2 linked regions of the Arabidopsis thaliana genome follow. The protein of the gene in region 2 purifies or fractionates together with the protein of the main gene of each other region. This does not show direct contact. Each region holds a gene or a part of one and is shown on either strand. Other genes may lie near its edges.

What was found.
Region 1: the proteins of AT1G67580 (region 2) and TPR10 purify together in Arabidopsis thaliana (affinity purification with mass spectrometry, with the first as the bait; one large-scale study listed by BioGRID). This does not show direct contact.

The regions. Positions count from the first base shown.
Region 1 is NC_003074.8:1,274,652-1,281,649, forward strand, and holds TPR10 (ankyrin repeat family protein), read left to right. Parts: upstream 1-2,016; 5' UTR 2,017-2,296; coding exon 2,297-2,792; intron 2,793-2,876; coding exon 2,877-2,938; coding exon of another isoform or gene 2,939-2,956; exon of another isoform or gene 2,957-3,173; intron 3,174-3,376; exon of another isoform or gene 3,377-3,463; coding exon 3,464-3,608; intron 3,609-3,954; coding exon 3,955-4,017; intron 4,018-4,101; coding exon 4,102-4,272; intron 4,273-4,356; coding exon 4,357-4,488; intron 4,489-4,584; coding exon 4,585-4,724; intron 4,725-4,812; coding exon 4,813-4,899; intron 4,900-4,997; coding exon 4,998-5,123; intron 5,124-5,242; coding exon 5,243-5,383; intron 5,384-5,461; coding exon 5,462-5,527; intron 5,528-5,611; coding exon 5,612-5,713; intron 5,714-5,799; coding exon 5,800-5,970; intron 5,971-6,057; coding exon 6,058-6,137; intron 6,138-6,230; coding exon 6,231-6,291; 3' UTR 6,292-6,467; downstream 6,468-6,998. Other genes in the region: ANX1 (Malectin/receptor-like protein kinase family protein), read right to left, coding at 1-1,287; AT3G04700 (carboxylate clamp-TPR protein (DUF1685)), read left to right, coding at 2,297-2,792, 2,877-2,956.
Region 2 is NC_003070.9:25,326,757-25,333,095, reverse strand, and holds AT1G67580 (Protein kinase superfamily protein), read left to right. Parts: upstream 1-1,634; 5' UTR 1,635-2,130; coding exon 2,131-3,845; intron 3,846-4,378; coding exon 4,379-4,514; intron 4,515-4,600; coding exon 4,601-4,689; intron 4,690-4,881; coding exon 4,882-4,993; intron 4,994-5,086; coding exon 5,087-5,193; intron 5,194-5,269; coding exon 5,270-5,369; 3' UTR 5,370-5,814; downstream 5,815-6,339. Other genes in the region: AT1G67570 (zinc finger CONSTANS-like protein (DUF3537)), read right to left, coding at 6,158-6,300.

The sequences.
Region 1 (6,998 bases), on a different chromosome or scaffold from region 2:
GTGTCTCTTTTCGTTCTTGAATTCTTTTTTAACCTCTTCCTCAGCTTGCATAGGCGATGGCTCGGGGTTTGGACCCGCAAGATTTTTCATGGTGTCCATCTTGAAAATCTCTAACCCGTTAAGAGATGAATCATAATATTCCGGTTGACCAAAAGTTGATGGAGTCATCTGAAGTGTAATCTCTTCGCCTCCGTTGTTGGCATCAACATATATCGCGTAGTCTTTGTACATCGGGATTCCTTTCTCTCCTGTCCACCCTATTATATCTGCAGGAGTAGTATCTGCCTGCGCTGTTCTGTTATTGATGTAAATGTTGAAAACCTTCTGGTTGATCTTGGAAAGCTGGAATTCGCAGAAATGGAGTCTCAAAATGTAGGTGAAGTTCTTATCGATTTGGAACATCCATGTAAGATTGGATTTGAGGTTGATATCTCCGTTTGGGCCTTGAGATCTTGCGGTTTTGTATATATCGGCTGGAGCTATAGACACCGGCATGTTCTGGTAGTTGATCCTAAAATTGTTGCTTGCTTGAAGTGTAACACCAAGACCCGCACTAAAGATGTAAGGTGCATCATTATACCAAGTTCTTGTCAACCCACCGGAGTCTTGGCTTCCAGGGATGTCCTGACCACCAACATTAAGTCTAAACATTGACTGAAGATTCGCAGTCTTGGCATCCATTGTTTGGTCTGTGAAACCAACAAGAGCCGCCGTGTCAAACAATTCCGGCATCTGAATCACCTCGATACCGTTTATAAAGGCAAATGCGTCTCGGTATTTATCTGAAGGGGTAAACTTGATGCTCAAAACATCTTTGTCAGTGGGTGCAAGAGAGTATTCTTTAACCAGATAAGCTTGAGTCAAAGCTTGACACGTAATCGCGGCGCTGAAATTGCTCAGTAAGGTAACATCGTTAGCTTCCACAGTGAAATACGAGTTGGAAATGTTGAGACCGGTGTATGTTGATGGGTAGAAATATAACCGAAGCAAATGTCTTTTATCTCCTTTAATCGGGATTTCATAAGTTGCTGGAGCTGTAAAGATTCTGGCTGTCATATAAGGAACTGTTGAGAGAAGTGAAGGGTCTTGATATGTAGCCGTTGCGTGAATTGAGTTTCCAGTCTTTAAAAACTTTGTATCTGGTTCCCATTTTTTCTTATCTTGGTCAGCAGAAGCTTCTGATGTCCCGCAGCTCAGAGCTAAATCTTGTCCGTTAGATCTAGTTGGAAAAACCAATAGAAAGGAGAGACATGTGAGGAAAAAGAGAATCCGAGTTTTCCCGCTCATGGCTGACACATCAACGGGTAGAGACTCTTTGCCTTAAACAAAAAATGAGGAGAGAAAAGCTTTCTTTTTTGTAAGAATTAAGATCACTTTTACGCTTGTGGACAAAATTAGAAGTTTATTTCTTATTGTCTCTGTAACCTAACCATAGAAAGTCAGGACTTGCATGGATGAACAAGAAGCAAAAACCTTGCAAGAAAAAAAAAAACAAGGTACACACTCTTTTTTCTTTTCTATTTTCTCGTTTTGTCTAGTTTTTTTTTGTTTGTAATTATGAGGTTACTGGTGTTTTTCTCATTTTCCGTCGTTCTGTCTGAAAGAGAAACAAAATTAGTTAGAAAAATTCGTGGTGGAGAGGATTACCCGAACAAGCTATGTTTAGCATATAGTTAGAGAAACTGAAAAGACTTTTGTTCTTTGACTACAACATGAAAATTCATGTAATCTAAATATAGAACTCTTAGACCATATTGTTTCAATAACATTATTACAAACTTTTGAAAGTTTGACTTGATAGAGATAGACTACGACATGTTTTGAAACTCTTTTCTTAGAATGGTCAAGGATCTAAACAAAGAAAGTCCCTAAAGATCTGGATGAATCAATCGTCAAATTTTAAGCAATGGAAGAAAATAGCTTTTTGACTTTTATCCATTACATAGATCAATGGTGGAAACTAGTTTGTTATTCTCCATTAAAGCACTAAGAGTCTCTTCAAAGTTTATCTGGTCGGGTTGGGAAAAATCCAACTAGAGAAGAGCATAAAAGTAGACATCTGATCAACCCGACCCATAATAACCTTTTTTTGTTGGCCGCGTAATATGTTCGAGCGCGGCCATCACACTAAGAACATTCATAAAAAAAAATCCACAGGATTCAAAGCCCTTAAGCTTTGATCATAGTCTCTTAAAGAGGTAGTAAAACCATAAACTAGAGCCCCAATTTGCATTCACAAGCCACCTAACACATTAGCTTCTGGTCATTTCTGCTTTATATACACATCAAGTAAAAAATGGTGAGAAGAAGAGAAGGTCTTACATTGCCAATCATAAAACCGGCGCTTCCCGAGGTCAGATCAGCAGCGACAACGCCGGTGGCCTCACAGAAACCAAAACATCGTTTATCGAAACAACTATCTATGTGTGAAACACCAAGAGACGTTGCTTGGGAAAGAAGAAGGCGTCAGATGATAATGATTCAAGAAAAGAAGCTGCTTCATAAGGGCGCTTCAGACAATCTTTGTATACAGGCGAATCTAACGGATGAAGATTTAAACGAGCTAAAAGGATCGATTGAGCTAGGTTTCGGTTTCAATGAAGAAGCAGGACAAAAGCTTTGTAATACATTACCAGCTCTTGATCTTTACTTTGCAGTGAATCGTCAGCTCTCGCCTCTTCCTTCACCTAGCAGCAGCCGTAGCAGCAGTGCATCTGCGTCAACTTTCTCATACAGTATACCTTGTAGTCCAAAGAAAACTGATTCAGATTCTGTTAAAATCTTATGCCCAGGTATCTAAACTCATGTTTTTGGTATTTTGTTTTGAATGCAATAACATTTATAAACTAATGGTTTAATATGATCTTTTTTGGCAGGGGACGATCCTCAACAAATGAAGCAGAGGTTGAGACATTGGGCACAAGCAGTTGCATGTTCTGTTATGCAGTCTTATTGAAGATTATAAGCACTCAGATTTTCTTTTGAGAGATAGGAAGAAGCGAATCTTTTACAATTAGGATTCGAAAGAAACAAAAAACAACTAGAAAATTTTGGAGAAAAAGAGATGAAAATTGTGGCTCTGTATATAACTCACAAGATGAGAGAAAGAAAAAGAAAAACACCTCTTGTTCATAAGCTGTAATGATGTATACAAAAAAAAAGATTACAATATGATCTTGGATTGGATAATAAAATGAACTTTTTTCTAGATAATCGATTCTTAAACTGAAAATAAGCCCATTTTGATCTAACGTTAGAATGAAAATGAAGAGATTTGAGAAGTCAGGGTGTATTTTTTACAAAACGTATTATTGGGTGTATTTTGTAATAGTTAAATATATGAGGGTCTAAGATTCAAATTTATTAAAAGATAACCAAAAAAAAACCTCTGGAATCTTCTTAAAACCTAGAAGCCTCCGACTCCGACCAACTGAAAAATTAAAAGGCAAAAGCTTTTTTTCAGATTTCTGATAATCAGACAGACAGACACAAACAAACACCGGTATCGACGAACGGAACTAACTCCGATATCCAAAACCCACTCCAAGTTTCACGAACGAAGGGCTTAGTATCTGCCATGGCTCCTGATGCTTCTACTGCTCTTGCAGGTATGCTCTTTTCTATATTTTAGAATGATGTATCGATCTCTGTCTTTTGAATGCGTATGAACTATAGATTCCTTGATGGGCTCTCTTAGTTTTCTTTAGCTGAATTGATCTTATGGTGAAGTTTCGATTTTTTCTTCCTCTGCTGCCTTTTCTTCTTCCTTTTGTGAAATTTTCGTTGGCTATAATGTTTCGGCTATGGCCATTACTAGAACTGTAGAAACTCAAATACTAATTGAAAATTTTCTTTAATTTGGTATAAGTAGATTAGAATTGAAGTTGACACTTGGTAGTTTGAATCTCTAATTATAATTTTTGTTTTCGTTTCATCTTTGGATTCTTACTCTAGCGAGGGAGAAAGTTCAGCAAATCCTGAATGCAGCTTGTACCGGAAATCTCGAATTCCTTAAGAGTGAGTGCTTTATTTACTTTTCGTTTCTCTGTTTTCTTTGAGCAGTTATATGTTTTGTGTACTGATTATCACTTCTCCAAGCAGATGTTGCTAAGCAGCTTGATGAAGGAAAAGACTTGACGAAAACTGTGGAGAGTATTAAAGACGCAAACAAACGTGGAGCGCTTCACTTCGCTGCGAGAGAAGGACAAACTGAAATATGCAGATATCTTTTGGAAGAACTGAAACTCAATGCTGATGCAAAAGATGAAACTGGTTTGTGTTTCCTTGTGTTTTACAATTTGCAGAACTTTTCTATATATGTGAAAGTTGATCACTGAGATTGTTATGATTTGGTAGGTGATACTCCGCTTGTTCATGCTGCGAGGCAAGGACAGATTGAAACGGTTAAGTATCTTTTAGAGCAAGGAGCTGATCCCAATATAGCTAGTGAACTAGGAGCCACAGCTTTGCATCATGCGGCTGGGACAGGTTGGTTATCAATTGCTCTGTCTTTTTTTATTTCACTCTCTTGGGTCATGAAGTGTTCTGTTTTACTTATATAGCTTCTCTCTATACATCTATTAGGAGAAATCGAGTTGCTAAAGGAATTGCTCTCTAGAGGTGTTCCTGTTGATTCTGAAAGTGAATCTGGCACGCCATTAATCTGGGCTGCTGGCCACGACCAAAAAAATGCTGTGGAAGTCTTGTTAGAACACAATGCCAATGTAAACTTTGTGTATATCTCTATTTGATTATCTGTCTAAAACCGTACTTTCTTATAAACCTATAACCTTTTTGTTGATGACTCTGCAGCCTAATGCTGAGACTGAAGATAATATCACACCGTTATTATCTGCAGTGGCAGCGGGTTCTCTGTCATGCTTAGAGTTGTTGGTCAAGGTTTAACATCTTCTTAACATCCTCTAGTATTGCGTTGGTTCAGCTGCCAAATATCTTAAATCAGAGCTAACAAAAAATTGTTCTTTTTGTAATCACAGGCAGGTGCCAAAGCTAACGTTTTTGCTGGTGGTGCAACTCCATTGCACATTGCGGCTGATATTGGAAACCTTGAGTTAATTAACTGTTTACTTAAAGCCGGGGCTGATCCGAATCAGAAAGATGAGGTAAAACCAACTTGGAAATCAGTTCATATGCAAGAACCTGTTCCCTTGTTCATATGGTACGACATGAATACAATCTTGTGGTACTATACTGATTCTACTGTAAACTCGATTATTTTTAGGAGGGTAATAGGCCATTAGAAGTTGCAGCTGCTAGAGACAACAGAAAGGTTGTTGAGATCCTCTTCCCATTGACAACAAAACCAGAAACTGTTTCGGACTGGACAGTAGATGGAATTCTCGCTCACATGGAATCAAACAAAGTAGGCATATCAGATCTTTCCTGGCATTAGTGTCGGATATTTCGATATTTTTTGTCTGAAACAACTTAACATTTTCAGGAACAAGAGGAAAACTCAAACAAGGCGAAATCCCAAGAGACTGGGATCAAGAAAGATCTTCCTGTGGTACTTCATACTTTGATCAATATGCATTTCTCTTTCAACAAATTGTTTAAAGTACTTAAAGATAACCATTTTTAACTTCCACAGGTCTCCCCAGAAGCAAAGGCAAAAGCCGCAGAAGCAAAAGCCAGAGGACAAGACGCCTTTCACAGAAAGGATTTTCAGATGGCTATTGATGCTTATACACAAGTATTCTACTCTAAAACTTCTTCTGAAATCAAAACAAGATTCTTAATTTTTGCCTATATGTGATTTTGTGGTTTGTTTGAACACAGGCAATTGATTTTGACCCAACGGATCATACCTTATTCTCAAACCGAAGCCTCTGCTGGTTGCGACTAGGACAAGCTGAGCATGCCTTATCTGATGCTAAAGCCTGCAGAGAACTAAACCCAGATTGGCCTAAAGGTTGCTTCAGAGAAGGCGCTGCTCTGCGTTTGCTACAGGTAAAAAGCATCTACAATGCCACTAAAAATCTTTGATCTCTTAACGTTGAAACTGTATGACTCACCGAGTTTCTCATGAATCTCCAGCGGTTTGACGAGGCAGCCAATGCTTTCTACGAGGGAGTATTGCTTAGCCCTGAAAGCAAAGAGCTCATTGATGCTTTCAGGTTCGTAAGAAACACTTATGGTGTTGATTTTTATCGGTTGGTATTGGGTTTTCGAGATAGATGATGTTGTTTTTTTGTCTATTTCTTCTACAGAGAAGCTGTAGATGCCGGAAGGAAGTTTCACGGCAAGGGTGAGGTTAAGGCCAAATCATAAGATCTTCGAGAGATGGTTTATGTAGTATATGTATGAAGTTTTGATCTACTTCTTACCTTTGTTCTCCCTTGTGCACTATTCTTAGGAACAAAGTTTTGTTTGTGGTCGAATTTGGTAATTTGTCCGAGTTTACAGCTTAGATAAAAAAGAGTTGGTAATACATTAGACTGATTTTGAAACTTTTCTTATATTTACAAACAAAAATTTAATTACGAAAATCAATATCAAGAAACAACCAAACAAAATCTTTACTTCGTCTCAACAATAATTTTTCCTTCAAGGAGAGCTAGTATACTTGTGTTCAAGCTTAAAATGACATACGAACAACGATAGTGTTTAATCACAACGTAATATTAGAAAAATATCGAAGTTAAGACATTAAATCTGAAAAATAGTCTACGATAAAAAGATGAAGATATGTCTTACAATGACTTCAAACCTAAGGTGCCGAAACTTTAGCACATTCACACACAAAAATCCTAAAAATTAGCAAGTAGAACCTAACTTTTACTTCTTTCCTTGAGAAACAAGTTAAAGCCCAAACTCAACCAAAACCTTAATACGACTCTTGACACCGAACCCTAAACTTACGACTCTTGACACCGAACCCTAAACATACGACTCTTGACACCGAACCCTAAACATCCGCCTTAGCATGAAACTCCTTTCTTTTGGGGGCTCATCTCCACCGTTTATGTCTTCATATC
Region 2 (6,339 bases):
TATTCAATAACTAACGCAAAAAAAAAAAAAAAAGTTTTGTTTGGGGAAGTAGATAAAAGAAATTGAGCCAAGAACTCTCAAAGTTAATCAAGGTCCCACGAGTGGCCAACTATCCGCACTTTAATTGCTAACTTCACTTAAAACTATGTCGCTAACCTTTTAATTGACACAAACACATTTGGGGAAACTCATAATCTTTGATGTGACCGGTAAAGCAAAAGTTTTGGGCTTTTTACCAGATGTCTGATCTCGCATTTGGCCCGACCCCGCAATTTTGGGCTTCTAAGATAAGGTCAGGCCCGGCTTTAAGGCACAATGTAAGCCCAGCAGTTCAAAGGTTGATCCGACATTAATTTGGTAACGGAGGAATCTCAACTTAAATGATAAGCATTTACGATCCGAGCTGACGACTCGTAACGTGCGAAGTTAATGAGGCGAGATCCGCGGCGTGAAGTCAGCGAATCATTTAACTCGTTTGATTCGATGTATTTGTATAAATAAGAGTCAATTGACATTGTAAAAGGGGATACACATTGTACTGAAACTATACTGAAATACATAAATACTTTTCACTTGATCACTGTTCGTCTAACAAGATTTAAGACCTTCACGAAACAACCACAAAATTCTAATTGCGGATTACGACATCCACACAAATCAAATAAAGATAATCTCAGATATGATGGAATAGTACTAGTACTTGATAGTGATTTTGATTGTCAAATTTTGTAAAGAGCAAAAAAATTGAAGTCTAGAATGAAAGATGACTCATATGTTTCGACCAAGCTAGTCATGAACACAAACAAGAAGAGAAATGATTAGTTCGTGATTGAGAGATTATGAATATTCATAATGTTCTAAAACGGTTTATGTGGTCCCCTAAACATTATGCAGCCACAAACCGTGACAATCATTTTTTCGGACATTGAAATTAGACATTTTAGTTTTGACTGGCCTTCGGCAATATTAGGTACATAATTATCAAAGTTAACATGACTCCAAAAATTAACATATGTTTTTTGATTTAAATGATTTGATGGTAATATTAAGGTTTTCATGTCTTAGAGCAATTTTATTTGTGGTTTCTAGATATAAGTTTCTTAACATTAAAACAACAAAAATAATATTATCTAACTATGTGAGTTTCTTGAATAGTTAAGAAATTCTCTCCAAAATTTCCTATATAAGGTATTTTAGAGATGACTTTTTCACTAATCAAAAAGCCCACACATTCTTTTATAATAAATTTTCTTTCTTTAAAATAAAAGACTTATGTTTAGAAATCATCAATGAGATTGTTCTTATGTTCCAAGTGCTCCAACATCGACTTTCAAGATAATAGTCTTTGTGGTTAAGATGACAATAATTCGATTAATTTTGGGTGTGAGTCGTGTGACTATCCCACGAAAATAAAATTGTTTTGCCAATTTGATGGTAAAATCTCACGATAAAAACTCAAACAATAACAGCCTACCAAAAAAAAAACTCAAGACCATAACATGTTAAATTTAAATAAATAAATATATTTTTGGTTTCAATAATATTGTCGTAGAAGTTTTAAAATATTTTAGAGATAAAAATAAAAAGAAACACATTGATTAATTACAAAAGTTAGGGGCTCCTTATACCTTTTTTTTTTTCATCAAGGGGCTCCTTATACTAAAACAATAAAATAGAGGGGGCGAATACAAAAACACGATTTTAGAGACCTAAAGCTTTGAGCTTTCGACGAGAAACTTTCTTCTCTCTCTCTCTCTCCGCCATTGTTCGTTCCCTCTCCACGGTAATCTATATCCACCCGTCGTCAATCGGAACTTTACGAACTCCTTATCAATCGTATTTTCACTTTCCAATTCTGAGTTCTCTTCTCGTTTCGTCCTCTCTTCCTCCGTATCCACGGGTCTCGCTTTCGGTTTCTAGGGTTTCGCGGTTCTGATCACAAGTTCTGCTTCAATTGTAAGCGATTTGATCGCAAGTAGCTGTTAAATCGGTGCGTAATTCAACTTTTGAAATCTCAAGGTTTAGTCTCTGCAATTCTGATTTTGAACACAGCTAGCTAGTAGCAGATTTAAGAGTTCGTCAAATTAGGATTTTGGGTTTGTTTGGGTCCCTTTCTCACCGAAGTTCTGTATGGCGGCTGGGAGGAATATAAGATATCCAGACCATGAACTGAGAGACCAGGAATCGAATTCTAGATTTTCCAGGCGGGATAGTGCTTATGCGAACGAGGATTATAATCATGTTAGGAACGGTGCTATTGATAATGGAAAGGGACGGGTTAGTAATCTAAGACACGGGGATAGAGATAGAATTAAGTCTGGAGCTAGACAGGAAGAGAACAAAATGGTTAGTAGTGGGTTTCGGTTATCGAAGAGCAATCCAGGTAGTAGAGAAGTATTTATCGATCTTGGTCCTAAAAGATGCGGGTTTTCAGCTAGGTCTGTGGACAGGGAACCAGGCGAGCTCTCTAGTGAGAGTGGGTCGGATGATTTGATTGAGTCGGAATCACTGGCGAAAGTTAATGGAGTTGTGAAGGAGGTAGAGAATAGAGCTCAAAGTCCTGTGGAAAAGAAGAGAAAGTTTTCACCAATAGTATGGGATAGGGATGACCATGAGAGAAGTAATTTGAGCAGAAATGAAAAACCTGTGGAGGTCACTCCTCTTCCTCCCCCACCACCACTAGTTAAGAGGTCAAGCCAGTCACCTAGTGTCAGTTGTGGTGGTAATTCTCATTATTCACCTGCAAAGAGTGACATGCATCAAGATCCTGTGGAAGTTGGTGTTTCTGCGGTTTCTATGCCTGCTTTGTCACCTTCGGTAGAGATGTCCTCTTTGTGTGTGGTAGAACAGTCATCAAATGCTGAGCAGGATGACAAACAAGAGCATGCAACACACCTGGAAGAGGATGAAAACATGCCAACACGGCATATATCATCCTCTAGGTGGGCTGCTGGTAATAGTTCTCCAACTGATGAAGTTGAAATAGTAGAAGAAGTTGGGGAAAAGAAAAGGAGGAAGAAACCATTTCCCGTGCAGGGGAGATTTCGCAATACCTCTCAAACACCTGAGGTCGGGGAGTTAGTGAGGGAAGGTTATAGATCATCTGATTCCGATGAAAGGGGGCACCATTCTTTACCGGGAAGCAGAGATGATTTTGAGGAGAGAGATGCTGTTAAGAGTGACAAGATGGAAATAGATGAGGAGGAACACAGAAGAGAAAACTCTGTTGACAGCCTTAGTGAAACAGATTCAGATGACGAATATGTACGGCATGAGACACCTGAACCTGCCAGTACTCCACTGAGAAGTATAAACATGCTCCAGGGTTGTAGAAGTGTTGATGAATTTGAGAGGTTAAATAAGATCGATGAAGGTACTTATGGTGTTGTTTATAGAGCAAAGGATAAGAAGACAGGCGAAATTGTGGCATTGAAGAAGGTGAAGATGGAAAAAGAAAGAGAAGGTTTTCCATTGACTTCTCTTAGGGAAATTAACATCCTCCTTTCTTTTCATCATCCATCAATAGTGGATGTTAAAGAGGTGGTCGTGGGTAGCAGCCTTGATAGCATATTCATGGTGATGGAATACATGGAACATGATCTTAAAGCATTGATGGAGACAATGAAGCAGCGTTTTAGTCAAAGTGAAGTTAAGTGCTTAATGCTTCAACTTTTAGAGGGCGTCAAGTATCTTCACGACAACTGGGTGCTTCATCGAGATTTGAAAACATCTAACCTGCTTTTAAACAATCGGGGTGAGTTGAAGATATGTGACTTTGGTTTGGCTCGGCAATATGGCAGCCCGCTCAAGCCTTATACTCATCTGGTTGTTACGCTTTGGTACAGGTAAAGTGCGTTTTTACCCTATTCTTGTTTATAAAAAAATTAAGTGGTGTTTACATTTACGATTGTTATTTGAATTCTGGTGGACTTTCTTGTTTTTTTTTGGCCATTGTTAGTATAACATTAGGTGCCACGTCTCCTTTCTGGTATAGCTGTACTACACCGTACTCCCTTTTCTATTTCTGCACATTAGGATCAATGATTTTAAAGTCCTGTTTTTAAATGGTGTTCCAAGGTATCTGATATTTGTTCCAATGGCACCACAAACTTGAGTTTTGTGACTGCCTTGGATCCTTATCTTTCCTCTTTGAGAATAGTCTTCATAATATGCCAGCTTAGCCATTAAATACTTAACACTTTTGCGGTATTTGCTTGGACACCACGTACCATGAACCAACGTAATCTGGGCACATTAGGAAATATACGTGCTTCAACTTCCTTGACTTGTTTTGTTCCTTGTGTTGACTCTCCCTTCTTGTTTTAGCAATAATCACTTCCTCCGGGACCAAGCCCAACGACTGCATTTGTTTTTCCAGGGCACCTGAACTTCTCTTGGGAGCAAAACAATATTCTACAGCCATTGACATGTGGTCACTGGGCTGTATCATGGCAGAACTATTAATGAAGGCGCCATTGTTCAATGGGAAAACGGAGTTTGATCAACTTGACAAGGTATTTTAAACATCGGTTTTGATTTGGATCTCCAGCCATCCTGGGACCACATACAGCTTATAAATTACTCCTTCTTTAATTTACAGATTTTCAGAATCCTTGGTACTCCCAATGAATCTATTTGGCCTGGGTTCTCTAAACTACCTGGAGTCAAGGTCAACTTTGTCAAGCATCAGTAAGTATTTATAGTTCCTTTTATTTTCAGTTTATATGGAAGGATAACCTTAGTATATGCTTAAAGTCTCTAATATTGTTCCCAGGCTTTCTAGCTTTAGATGATGTGGTGTGGCTCTCTGACTCATTAGTGGATTTATATTGTTTTCATAGTTGTTATGTCACTCTTCTCACCGCTTACCTGTACTTTTAGGTATAACCTATTACGTAAGAAATTCCCAGCCACTTCGTTCACTGGTGCACCAGTTCTGTCCGATGCTGGGTTTGACTTACTGAACAAGCTCCTAACGTACGATCCTGAAAGGGTAATAGAAAATATATATCTGTTGCATGCATGTTAATCCAGTATGCACCTTAATTGTTCCTTGACTTTTGGATCTCTGTGGCTTCTTCTGCAGAGAATAACTGTTAATGAAGCTCTAAAGCATGATTGGTTCCGCGAAGTCCCTCTGCCAAAATCCAAAGATTTCATGCCTACTTTTCCTGCTCAACATGCCCAAGACAGGTACTGAGGTCTATCTAAACTGAAACGATCAGTGGTTGACTTTAATTCTGTCTCTTACTTTTTCTTCTATGCCTAGGCGTGGGAGGAGAATGGTAAAGAGCCCTGATCCTTTGGAAGAGCAACGTAGGAAGGAATTAACGCAAACCGAACTTGGGTCTGGCGGTCTGTTTGGCTGAAGTACAGCACACCGGTCGAAGATAGCAGTTGGAATACAACCTTGATATTCTCAAATACCTTGGAATTACCACATTTTAGGCGAGGGCTGCTGCTTAAGCGGAGGTTGGAATATTTGTATCTCAGAATATCATTCATGCTTTCTTTATTCACTTTGAGGGTCCGTGGTGATTTGTGAAGATGATTTTCCTCCTTTCGCCACTGAGAATCCTTGCAGGTTTAATGTGTTCACAAGCTAGGCTGGCCAGTTAGTGCTATGGCTTTCTGACAGTGCTTGTTTTGTAAGACAATCTCCAATGTATAGCTCTATATCTTACTCTAAAATAGAGTTGCTTTCTCTCCAATGTATATTTCTATTTTCTAGTCTAAAAAAGAATATTTTTAGAAATATTCTATTTCTATTTATATACTAATACCTTTTAATTATATAATTTACAATTTACTCCATATGTTATAAATTTGCAAATTGCCATAAAATATGATATTATTTATAAAAAATCCAAATGTTCGGACATATTTTGAGAGTGAACAAGTATGGATTTTACAAAAACGACGAGTCCAACAACAGGATCAAGATCAAGAAACTCCTCCTCCATCTAGTACAATATAGCTTTGTACACTCTTCACGTAACCAAGTTAAGAGAGGCTCGCGGGAAAAAAAAAAAAAAAAAAAGTTAAGAGACGCTCATGTAAGTATATCTTCTCCTATCAATTGAAGAATCTCACTATATGGCAGAAGGTAAAAAAGCTATGCAATAATGCATGATACACCAACCCTTTTTTTTTTTGGTCATTCAGTACCGAAAACTACAGTCTTGCCGAGTACAAAAGTAACTAGAGAGAGCTCAATGAAGAATATTGTGTTTATCAAATGCCTGTCTACTGTCCACCCGAATATCGTTATCCCGCCTGGATTCATCTGCAAATACAACACTGCAACATATCATCTAATTAGCTATCATCATATCTGAG